Saccharomyces cerevisiae S288C: one gene and its partner. The protein of the gene in region 1 binds, or shares a complex with, the protein of each later gene. Each region holds a gene or a part of one and is shown on either strand. Other genes may lie near its edges. A codon is read from its position in the direction of its gene.

Region 1 (6,011 bases):
TTTTAGATAAAAGGAAGTATTATATCGGAACATAACGTATATAGGAACTAGCTGAGTGAGTTAAAGGATGTCGACAGTTAATGTTTTGAGATACTCTGCGTTGGGTTTGGGGCTATTTTTTGGTTTTAGAAATGATATGATTTTGAAGTGTAATGCTAAGAAGAAAGAGGAGCAGGCACAGTACGAGGAGAAATTGAAGCTGGTAGAGGAGGCAAAGAAGGAATACGCCAAGCTACACCCTGTAGTAACTCCTAAAGATGTGCCTGCGAACGCCTCATTTAATTTGGAAGATCCTAATATAGATTTTGAAAGAGTTATTCTTAACGCCGTTGAATCCCTGAAGGAAGCTTCAACATAAATAGAAGCTTCAACATAAATAGGATACTAAAAATGCACATTAGCTCGCACTGAATGACGAAGTTATGATGGATTCTCGTTCGCTAGATGTTCCATATTTTTTTCTTCATTCGTTAGTGCACAAACAATAAGGAAAAAAATGAAATGTATATATTCTAGAACATACTAATATCATACGTATCGTATTGTAAACAAAATTCACATTCCAAAAATTTTTCAGATTCTTACTTTATATTATTTGCATCAAGCTTTATTAACAATGACACGTTATTTTATATGTACAGGATACTATAATGTCATACTATTTAGGATCACCTTCTAACTCTGCTAAAAACCCTTCCAGGTGGTAGGCCATATTTTTCTCTGACGGCGGCGACTTTGGCATCCCATTCGCTTCTCCAGATATGTGCCCCAATAGCGGTTAGATTGTATTTCTTCGTAAATTGCCTGATATCAAAATCATCTCTACTTAGTTCCTTTCGGTCAATCTCTAACATGTTAGGACCTTGCTTATCCTCGATTAAGGGTTGTCTGAATACCCAAACAACGAATCTCTGTTTTCCAGCATTCTTTTCAGGTACCGGAGGTAAGTAGTCAGCGATAATATTAGAACTGTGGAACTTTCTTGGATCTATTAAATTGTCATTATAAGTCAAATTAATATTCACCAATCCGTAACACAAAGCCGTTTTAAATGAGTCATTACTCAAATCTGGAACATCAGGATTGACTATCAGTACCGTATACAATTGTTTTTCAACGTTCACAAGTTCATATTCTTGAATTTTGAAAATGGGACGCATGGATGTGACATTGGACGATAGAAATTCACCAGGTTCGATCCACTTATTTACACCAGTAGAGAAGGGAAATTTGATATTCACTTCTGCCCGTGGAACCAGAGTTGGAAGAGTATCAGGAATGGCAGCCAACGTTTCTAACCTTTGCATCAATAACATCTGGCCGTACGATTCCCAATGTTGTTTCCCCAAATGTCTGTACACTGGCACATCATAATCTATTATATCCTTAACATTGTTCAACTTGTTATTAAACTGAAAATTGTATTGTACCTCAGGATTATTGATCTCTGCTTTTATGAGAAGTGCATCCTTCTTCAAGGGATTTTTAGTCTTATTGGCCAACTCATAAAACTTACTGGATCTTTGCTCAAGAAAATCATAACTCATCCTGAAAATCTCATCAATGTGTTCTGGAGGTGAATATTTGATACGGTTACTTCTTCTGCTGATAGATGGTGGGTCTAGAGAAGCTTTCTTCTGGAAAAGGTAATTTTTCACTTTTGAAGATTGGATAGAAAGTGAACTAGGCCTTGTGGTAAAGTCCGACCAAATATGCGAAGTAGCATTAGGTTTTTGGAGGATTTTAGTGGTATGAATAGATCTTCGTAACATAGTTCGGCAGTGACCTTGATTTCTGTAAAGATCTCTGAATAAGCTTTTTGCTGTAGTCTGATATTGTATTGGATACTGTTGTCTTATCCCAGACCTTCCGGCTTCCGGTTTAGCCCGGAAAATTTGAAAAGACTGCGACAGTAAATCCCAAACACATAAGAAAATAAAAAAAGGAATACATAAACAAAAATGGATATATAAAGGCTAATTTTTTTTTGTTTATCAAATATTCCTTATTTTTTAACTTTCTTAAAAATATTTAAACACCAGATTTCGAAAAAAGTAATATTTATTCTTTAAAAATGCGGTGACCAGCGGGCGATGATAATCAAATATTTAAAAATGATATAATGATAAAACTTGAATTATTTTTATAGGAAAAGTGGAACCAAAAGATTTTCTAATGCACTGATATCATGAGCAGTTAATGAAAAATTATTAATATTATTTTTTTTATATTTTTATTCAAAAATAACATTCAAAATTTAATTTTAATAAACTCATTTAAAAAAAACCTCTAAAAACATGAAGATAGAACTATAATAACGGCTTCAGTATTCAAGACAAAGCCATGTGCAGGTGAAACGATAGAAAAGTGACATAGCCGAGACAATCTAAATGAAGAATTCCTGTACTCATCTCAGACTAGCATTAACAGGGACTTGCATAATTATATCTCTATCTCTGTGTCTATGTATATATATATATATATCGACACAAATGCAAAAAATTACAAAATTTTCACCCACCATAGACGCCAGTGAAAACATGTTTAATTTCTTCCAACGTGTAGTTACCTGCCAAACATAATTGTAACAAGATTCTGCTCTTTTCAGGGCTTAGATAACCAGATGCGATGAGATTATCCTCCTTTGAACCTTTCTTTGGTACGTTGGCAATAGGCACCATACCATCCATCGATCTCTTGGAATATACGATCGGCAAACTCAATTTCATGCAGGTTTCATTGACCTCCTCCGGCAATGAACCAGCACCCATGGTAGCAAGAACAATACCATCATACTTATCTGCCACTAAGTTGACTATAGCTGGCGGAAAGGCTTGGTGAGCATATAAAATGCAAACCTCTGGTAATTTAAAATGCTTACCGTCCACTCTCAGTTTGAATTTGTGGCAACCTTGCGGTTTCACAGGAGGATAATAGTAGTGAATTTCATTGTTGACAAAATTTCCTAAATAGCCTTGTCTAACATTAAAAGAATCCAAACTATTTGCATTCGTCTTAGTAATGTAGTAACCAGAGGAAATTTGGTCATTCAAGGAAACAAGAACACCTCTTCCTCTAGATTTTGGATTTGAAGCAATGCAAATTGCTTGGTAAAGGTTCATAGGGCCATCAGCAGAAACGCTGGTTGAAGGACGCATCGAACCAACAAAAACAATAGGAACGTCGCCAGCATCAATAGTACTTTCAATAAAGAATGCAGTTTCAGATAGCGTATCAGTCCCATGGGTAATAACTATACCGTCAAAAGCCTGCAACGATTCTGAGACGCCCTTATAAATTTTATAAAGAATATCCTCGTTTATGTCTTTAGAATCCACGTTGCATAGTTGCTCATATTCAATGTCACAGACCTTGGATATATCTGGAATGGCATCCAATAGATCTTGGATGGTCAGGTCAACATGATAGCCGGCAGTTTGAGAGGAGTCTATAGCTTTCGATGCAATAGTACCACCGGTACCCAAGATTTTGATTCTTGGTAAGCTACGTTGTTGGCAAGCGATGCCGCTGCCATTCACAGCGGCATTTTGAGACTTTAGAATCTCTGGAATAGTCTCTGGACAGTTGCTTTGCACAACAAACTGAGAATTTTCAACATCTGGGCAGATGGTAGTGATTTCAACTGAATCGCTTTTCATGATACGCTTCCAAAAGTGCGATGAGAGTGCTGTTATCCTCCACTGTCTTCAAACACATTTCTTCAACAAAGTCATCGTCATCATCTTTTTTTTTTTTTTTTCATCGAGTATTTTTTCACACGAACGGCACAAGTAGCCTTCAACTGTAATAAACAAAAGCAGATAGGGAGGAAAAGAAGTGAGTTTAGGAAAGAAAGCATAACATGGAGAACCCTCATGAACAAGTGCAGGCTAACATACTTTCGCGAATAATTGGTAATGTCAAAAGGCTCAATGAGAGCGTGGCAATTCTTAACCAGGAGCTTGTGACCATTAATAATCGGAACAAAAATCTAGAAATCATGGGCGCAATTTGTGATAACTACCATAGTAGCGTCCAATTCAACCTGGAAGCGACCAATAACAAGAAGCCACCTCTTTAATTCACCAATTTTCTATATACGCATACTCATATACACATATATATATGCTATACCGTTTCTAATATATTCATTTAAGATCACTGTTTCCTGCGAAAAGGAGAAAAAAATAACAGCACATCGCTTAACCTATTCCTGTGCTTCTGGAAAGGACGCAGCCTGCAAGAAACAGTCAACATCAATGTCAGATCCATTTGCACATTTACTGACTTCTTTGAAGAATAAGGACTCTGCATCTGCATCCAAGGAAACAACTCCTCAGAGCAGCAATTCGCCTTCCATTACTGGTTCCGCTGTTGCAGATGTTGCAAGGACGGATAAAAGCCCCAATGATAGTCTGCATTCAATTTCAGCTCCTCCGCTGATACCGTCACCGAAGGTAGATTTTTCTGCACCTCCTTTGGTCCCAACTAATAGCACCACTAAATCTAATACTGCCAACAACACACCTCCCTCGGCTCTTGCCAATACCGATGACGACTTCAATCAACTATTTGGTATGGGCACAGTAACTACAACGGATACGATCCAAAAACCGGATGAGGATTACTATGGAAGCAAGGAAGACCACCTTTACAATGGTGATGACGCCTTAGTTGATGAAGTTAAGGATATGGAAATAGCAAGATTGATGTCTCTAGGTTTATCAATTGAAGAAGCCACTGAGTTTTACGAAAATGACGTAACTTATGAAAGATATTTGGAGATTTTAAAGTCAAAGCAAAAGGAGCGCAACGATCTAGCTATAAGAAAGAAAGAAAGTGGTATAAAAATGGAAAAGTCAGGATTATCCAACATTGTTGGTACAGATAGCAATAATTTATTCAGCATGGCCACTGATTTTTTCAATAAGGGTAAGAAACTGGTAGACCAATGGACCTCCTTCCCACCTGAGGCAAATGATAGACTGAATAATTACTCAAAAACTCATGATAAGGTTGAGGATTATGATTTGCCTCAAGTAAACGACTCACCCAATAGAATTTTGTTTGAAGATAATGAAGTCGTAGAGAACTTACCACCTGCCGATAATCCGGATCAAGATCTTTTAACTGATTTCGAAACAAAGATTGATATAACAAAGAGGACAGCGCCTGATGTCTCCCACTCCTCCTCACCGACTTCTGGTATACTAATTGAAGAAAATTCGCGAAGAAATGAGCCCCTGATAGAGGATAGTCTTCTCGACTTTTCAGAAGGAAATCTCACCAATAGTAAAAGCAATGAAGATAGCACCCTCTTCAATGAAAACAGCAACACTGACTCTACAATACCCATCTCAGATATTGAATTATCGGGGTATAACGAATTTAAGGCGAAAGGTACTAGTTTGTTCAAGAACGGGGATTATATTAACTCATTACAAGAATATGAAAAGTCTTTAAATACATTGCCTTTAAATCATCCATTGAGGATCATTGCATTATCAAACATTATTGCCTCGCAACTGAAAATCGGTGAGTACTCTAAGTCCATAGAAAACTCCAGCATGGCTTTGGAATTATTCCCATCAAGCAAAGCTAAGTGGAAGAATAAAATCTCAAATAGTGACCCTGAAAGATCATTTAACGACATCTGGCCAAAGATTATGATTAGGCGTGCTGAGTCTTTTGAACATTTAGAAAGTTTCAAAAAAGCACTAGAAACATACCAAGAGCTGATTAAGAAGAATTTTTTTGATGATAAAATCATGCAGGGAAAAAGAAGATGCCAAGACTTTATTAATCCTCCCCCTGTTAAAAAATCCATGCCCGTTAAGAAGAAGACAACGACAACCTCGCCTGCAACAAAAAAACAGAACTTAACCGCTTCTTCTTCAAATTCTCCAATTTCTGTTGATAGCACTTCAGAAATAAAAAAACGGGAGCTAGAAAACGCTAAACTGGCGCTATATGATAAAGTATTTGAGAAAATTAGCTCCTGGAAGGATGGC
Region 2 (4,366 bases), on another chromosome or scaffold:
TACTTGAATAGATTCGTTGGAAGAGGAATTATTGTAAATATTTGAAGATGCTGTTTCTGTGGCAATCACGCCGGCGTTATCGTCCGAAGGCAAAACGTCTTCACTGTGGTAGAGGCCTAGCGCCTTGTCATACTTGTAATAACCCGAAAATGATTCCACGTGGTTGAAATAGCGGGATTGTCTGTATCTTCCACCTAAATAAAAGTCGGCGGAAAGAATCATAAATATGATACCAAACCAAAATGCTAGCAACCATTCGAAACAAGCACTCTTAGATCTATCATTGATAGCACCAAAACAAATGGCCCATACAACTGCGAGAGTTAACCATATAACTTTTAGAGTTGCACTGATGGTAAATTTATTCCATACATGGCCTTTCCATTTATACCAAGGCAGCTCATCCACAGTGTTATAATCTTGGTTAAAGCTTTTTTCAGATGATTGAGGATTGAAATGAGGGCTGGCTAGGGGGTGGACTGAGGCATAGTGCCTTCCCATGAGGAAATACTCTGCAATCAAGCAGCAAGTGGATAGGAACATGAAGACGACGAAAACAGAGACCATAGCAATGTGAACGCGATGGTACAGGGCGGTTGAGAAGATGGAACTGAATAAAAGGGCTAGTTCACCAATGCTGCCGAGAACAAAAGCTGCGAAAATCAGGTTCCGTTCATCCTTTGTGTAATATGGAGGCATTAAGTATTTACCGCTGTGCAATTTCTCAGCATAAGATGTGGAATCAGAGATAGAAGGGTCTTTTTTTTTCAGTTGGAAAGGCAGATAGCCGGATCTTTGAAAAAACTCAAGGGCAACAGTGATTACATAGCCTAGACCCTGCCAGCCGGCGCACGATATAAACAGTGGCCTTAAATTAGTGGCACCTATATCTGAAATGTACACAGGGAATTGCTCCGAGTGCATGAACCAATATATGGGATGGCCTTGACTGGCCCAGCAAATAAGCATGGCTATCAGCATACCATACCATGGAATGAAGGCAATCCAGGGTACTATGAACAGCCAGTTACCTGGACTTTTAAATTGAATCATGCTATTGCTTGTACCTTCTATGTGTTTTTACTATGTAGCAGAACTTTTTACTATGAATGTTAAAAGTATCTAAAGGAAAAAAAATCCCGCAAAAAATTGTGTCTTATTATTTAGGTTTTTAGTTGTCCAGATGTTAAATCAGTAAATCTCAACTTCAGGGAATAACTATATTTATAAACTGAATGCCCCTAAGAAGGAGTGAAAATTCCGGTTTCATTCTCCTTCGCTTAGATGACAAATCTTCCAGGCTGAAAAAAGTTGCTATTTTTCCAGTTTTTTTTTTTCATCCATTTACTTTACTGCCGCGGATCCTTCAATTGAACAGAGCCCTTAAGCCGCAGAGGGGTAAGAGATCTTCGTTTTTGAACAGCCGTGGAAGATGTTTAGAGTTGGATATGGCTGGCAAGACCGTTGTGTTAGTCTTCATTGATAATCTTGGGCCTTATCCCGTCCTACTTGCACTATTATAGTGGAAATGCGATATGTCCGGTGCGTCATAGAGGAACGGAGGCCCTTGCTTGATTAGTAGCTACTCCGATTAAATGCGGTAGTGCCGCGCGGGTAACAGAACAGCGAGTTTTTCCTGTTTTCTTTTCCGTTCTTTTCCGTTTGTTTCCGTTCTTTTCCGTTTTTTTTTTCCGTTTTTTTGGTTTGTTTTGGTGAGCTGAGGCATCAACAAAATAGATATCTACAGTTTGGGGTGGGAATAGAGCCAGGTTGATCAACGTATGGAAAGAGCAACATAAGGGATTGTTGACACAAAAAATGGATTCTGCAAGCAAAGAGGAAACATTGGAAAAACTTGATCAAGAAATTACAGTGAACCTGCAGAAGATAGACTCTAACTTGAGTTTCTGCTTTCATAAGATCACCCAGGACATCATCCCACACGTGGCTACATATTCAGAAATATGTGAGCGGATCATGGATAGCACCGAATGGCTGGGGACTATGTTTCAAGAGACTGGGCTGGTGAATTTGCAGGCAAATGCAGCTGCACCAGTGGGAAACGCTCCAGTCAAAAGCCTTGTGAGCAATAATGTTGGTATATTTCCTACATCCGCTGAAGAGGCGAGTAGGCAGTCCCAGACAGACAATGGGCCTAACGAGGCAGATTCAGCTGTACATGTCAACCGGGATGTCCATTCTATGTTTAATAACGACAGTATAGATGATTTCCACACAGCGAATATAACATCCACGGGACAGATATTGAAACTTCCGGACTCTAGCGACGAAGATACTGGTTCAGAGGCGGTGCCTTCAAGGGAGCAAACAGACCTTACAGGCGAGGGTCATGGTGGAGCTGATGATGAGCAAGATGAAAGTACAATACAGAGACAAAGCCGCAAAAGAAAGATTTCGCTACTTTTGCAGCAGCAGTACGGGTCTAGTTCCAGCATGGTACCGTCTCCGATTGTGCCCAATAAAATGCGGAAGCAACTGGCTCATGAAGAACATATTAATAACGACGGCGATAACGACGATGAGAACAGCAATAATATAGAGAGCTCGCCTCTGAAGCAGGGGCACCACCACCCGAAGGGACAAGCGGATGATAACAACGAAGGGCCCGATGAAGAAGAGAGTACGAAAGAAGTACCAAAGCCTGGGACCATCATTCATTTTTCTACGAATAGATAGAATAAATAAGTACATACAATTTTTACTAGTGATGAATATCAGAACGCAGGGTAATGGGCCCGCTATATTTTTTCTTCGATATAGGGAGAGCCACATTCAGAATATTCAGAGTATTTGCATGTAGAAATTTATTCTAAGTGCGCCAGATATATGCCGGGAGAGGTCATTAGAAAACATCTGTTTGTGTTTTAACTTGAATTACAATAACAATAATACCAGTTTTATATGGGGAATATAATGTCAGCTAGTTTTGCGCCTGAATGCACTGACCTGAAGACGAAATACGATAGTTGTTTTAATGAATGGTATAGCGAAAAATTCCTGAAGGGAAAATCCGTTGAGAACGAGTGCTCAAAACAATGGTACGCTTATACTACATGTGTCAACGCAGCTCTCGTCAAACAAGGTATTAAGCCTGCTCTAGACGAAGCTAGGGAGGAGGCGCCGTTTGAAAATGGCGGCAAACTAAAAGAAGTTGACAAATGAAGTATATATTTTAGCACAGAATGTGCATTATTCAACATGTAAATACTAATACTGCAATATCGACTTATAATAATGTATAGTGATCCGTATATTAATAGATCTGTTTCAATTCTTTACCTTTTTAGGATATCCGTCACCCGTGATTCCGTCGGAGGTGAGCACTCGCCCAAATAAATAACGGGAAATGGTGGCAAAAAGTAGTGGCGGGAAAAGGAAAAATTTTCGTTCTCTCCCATATAAACGTTTCATTCCTTTTCCTAAGTCTTTTACAGTAATTTCAGAAACATTCGTATTTTATATTTGATCTTTTGAAGCTACAAGAAAAACTCTTACCAATTACCCCAAAAAAATCACCATCATAAAGTACTTACATATTTATTTTTGTTTGGTCGTTTTCTCAATATAATCTACATCATCATATATATATAATGTCTACACAATTTAGGAAGTCTAATCATAATAGTCATAGTAGTAAAAAACTAAATCCTGCGCTAAAGTCCAAAATAGATACGCTTACAGAATTGTTCCCTGACTGGACGAGTGATGATTTAATTGATATAGTTCAAGAATATGATGATTTGGAAACTATAATTGATAAAATTACTTCCGGCGCAGTGACAAGATGGGATGAAGTAAAGAAACCTGCTAAGAAGGAAAAATATGAAAAAAAGGAGCAACAACACTCATATGTCCCTCAACAACATTTGCCAAATCCAGAAGATGATATTACATATAAGAGTTCTAATAATAGCAATTCTTTTACTTCTACAAAGCATAACAGTAGTAACAATTATACTCAAGCCAGAAATAAGAAGAAGGTACAAACACCACGAGCTCATACAACCGGGAAACATGTTAATCTCGACAAGGGGAAGCACGTACCATCCAAGCCTGTTTCAAACACTACATCGTGGGCAGCAGCTGTTTCTGTAGATACTAAACATGACGTTCCTCAAGATTCAAATGATAACAATAATGAAGAATTAGAAGCACAAGGGCAACAAGCGCAGGAGAAAAATCAAGAAAAAGAGCAAGAAGAGCAACAACAGCAGGAAGGGCATAATAACAAAGAAGAACACAAACAAATAGAGCAACCTTCTTTATCTTCAAAGAAAACAACTTCTAGGACATCTGCTTCACAACCAAAGAAAATGTCGTGGGCTGCAATTGCTACACCAAAGCC

What was found. The genes of interacting proteins can lie anywhere in the genome.
Region 2: the proteins of DAD4 (region 1) and ASK1 are in contact, whole or in part, in a cryo-EM structure (PDB 8Q84), measured with the Saccharomyces cerevisiae proteins. Residues at the interface, in NP_710144.3 of Saccharomyces cerevisiae: Asn3 (codon at 3,869), His5 (codon at 3,875), Val8 (codon at 3,884), Gln9 (codon at 3,887), Ile12 (codon at 3,896), Leu13 (codon at 3,899), Arg15 (codon at 3,905), Ile16 (codon at 3,908), Asn19 (codon at 3,917), Val20 (codon at 3,920), Arg22 (codon at 3,926), Leu23 (codon at 3,929), Ser26 (codon at 3,938), Val27 (codon at 3,941), Leu30 (codon at 3,950), Glu33 (codon at 3,959), Leu34 (codon at 3,962), Ile37 (codon at 3,971), Arg40 (codon at 3,980), Asn41 (codon at 3,983), Leu44 (codon at 3,992), Met47 (codon at 4,001), Ile50 (codon at 4,010); in NP_012872.2 of Saccharomyces cerevisiae: Leu10 (codon at 1,846), Glu11 (codon at 1,849), Asp14 (codon at 1,858), Gln15 (codon at 1,861), Ile17 (codon at 1,867), Thr18 (codon at 1,870), Leu21 (codon at 1,879), Gln22 (codon at 1,882), Ile24 (codon at 1,888), Asp25 (codon at 1,891), Leu28 (codon at 1,900), Ser29 (codon at 1,903), Cys31 (codon at 1,909), Phe32 (codon at 1,912), Ile35 (codon at 1,921), Thr36 (codon at 1,924), Ile39 (codon at 1,933), Ile40 (codon at 1,936), Val43 (codon at 1,945), Tyr46 (codon at 1,954), Ser47 (codon at 1,957), Cys50 (codon at 1,966), Glu51 (codon at 1,969), Ile53 (codon at 1,975), Met54 (codon at 1,978), Leu60 (codon at 1,996), Gly61 (codon at 1,999), Phe64 (codon at 2,008).

What each region holds. Positions count from the first base shown.
Region 1 is NC_001136.10:1,106,350-1,112,360, reverse strand, and holds DAD4 (Dad4p), read left to right. Parts: upstream 1-3,862; coding exon 3,863-4,081; downstream 4,082-6,011. Other genes in the region: TIM11 (F1F0 ATP synthase subunit e), read left to right, coding at 68-358; mitochondrial 54S ribosomal protein mL38 MRPL35, read right to left, coding at 669-1,772; asparaginase ASP1, read right to left, coding at 2,514-3,659; auxilin-like protein SWA2, read left to right, coding at 4,260-6,011. UniProt on the Saccharomyces cerevisiae protein: Component of the DASH complex that connects microtubules with kinetochores and couples microtubule depolymerisation to chromosome movement; it is involved in retrieving kinetochores to the spindle poles before their re-orientation on the spindle in early mitosis and allows microtubule depolymerization to pull chromosomes apart and resist detachment during anaphase.
Region 2 is NC_001143.9:337,999-342,364, reverse strand, and holds ASK1 (Ask1p), read left to right. Parts: upstream 1-1,818; coding exon 1,819-2,697; downstream 2,698-4,366. Other genes in the region: SFK1 (Sfk1p), read right to left, coding at 1-1,053; MDM35 (Mdm35p), read left to right, coding at 2,923-3,183; DNA damage-responsive RNA polymerase-degradation factor DEF1, read left to right, coding at 3,612-4,366. UniProt on the Saccharomyces cerevisiae protein: Component of the DASH complex that connects microtubules with kinetochores and couples microtubule depolymerisation to chromosome movement; it is involved in retrieving kinetochores to the spindle poles before their re-orientation on the spindle in early mitosis and allows microtubule depolymerization to pull chromosomes apart and resist detachment during anaphase.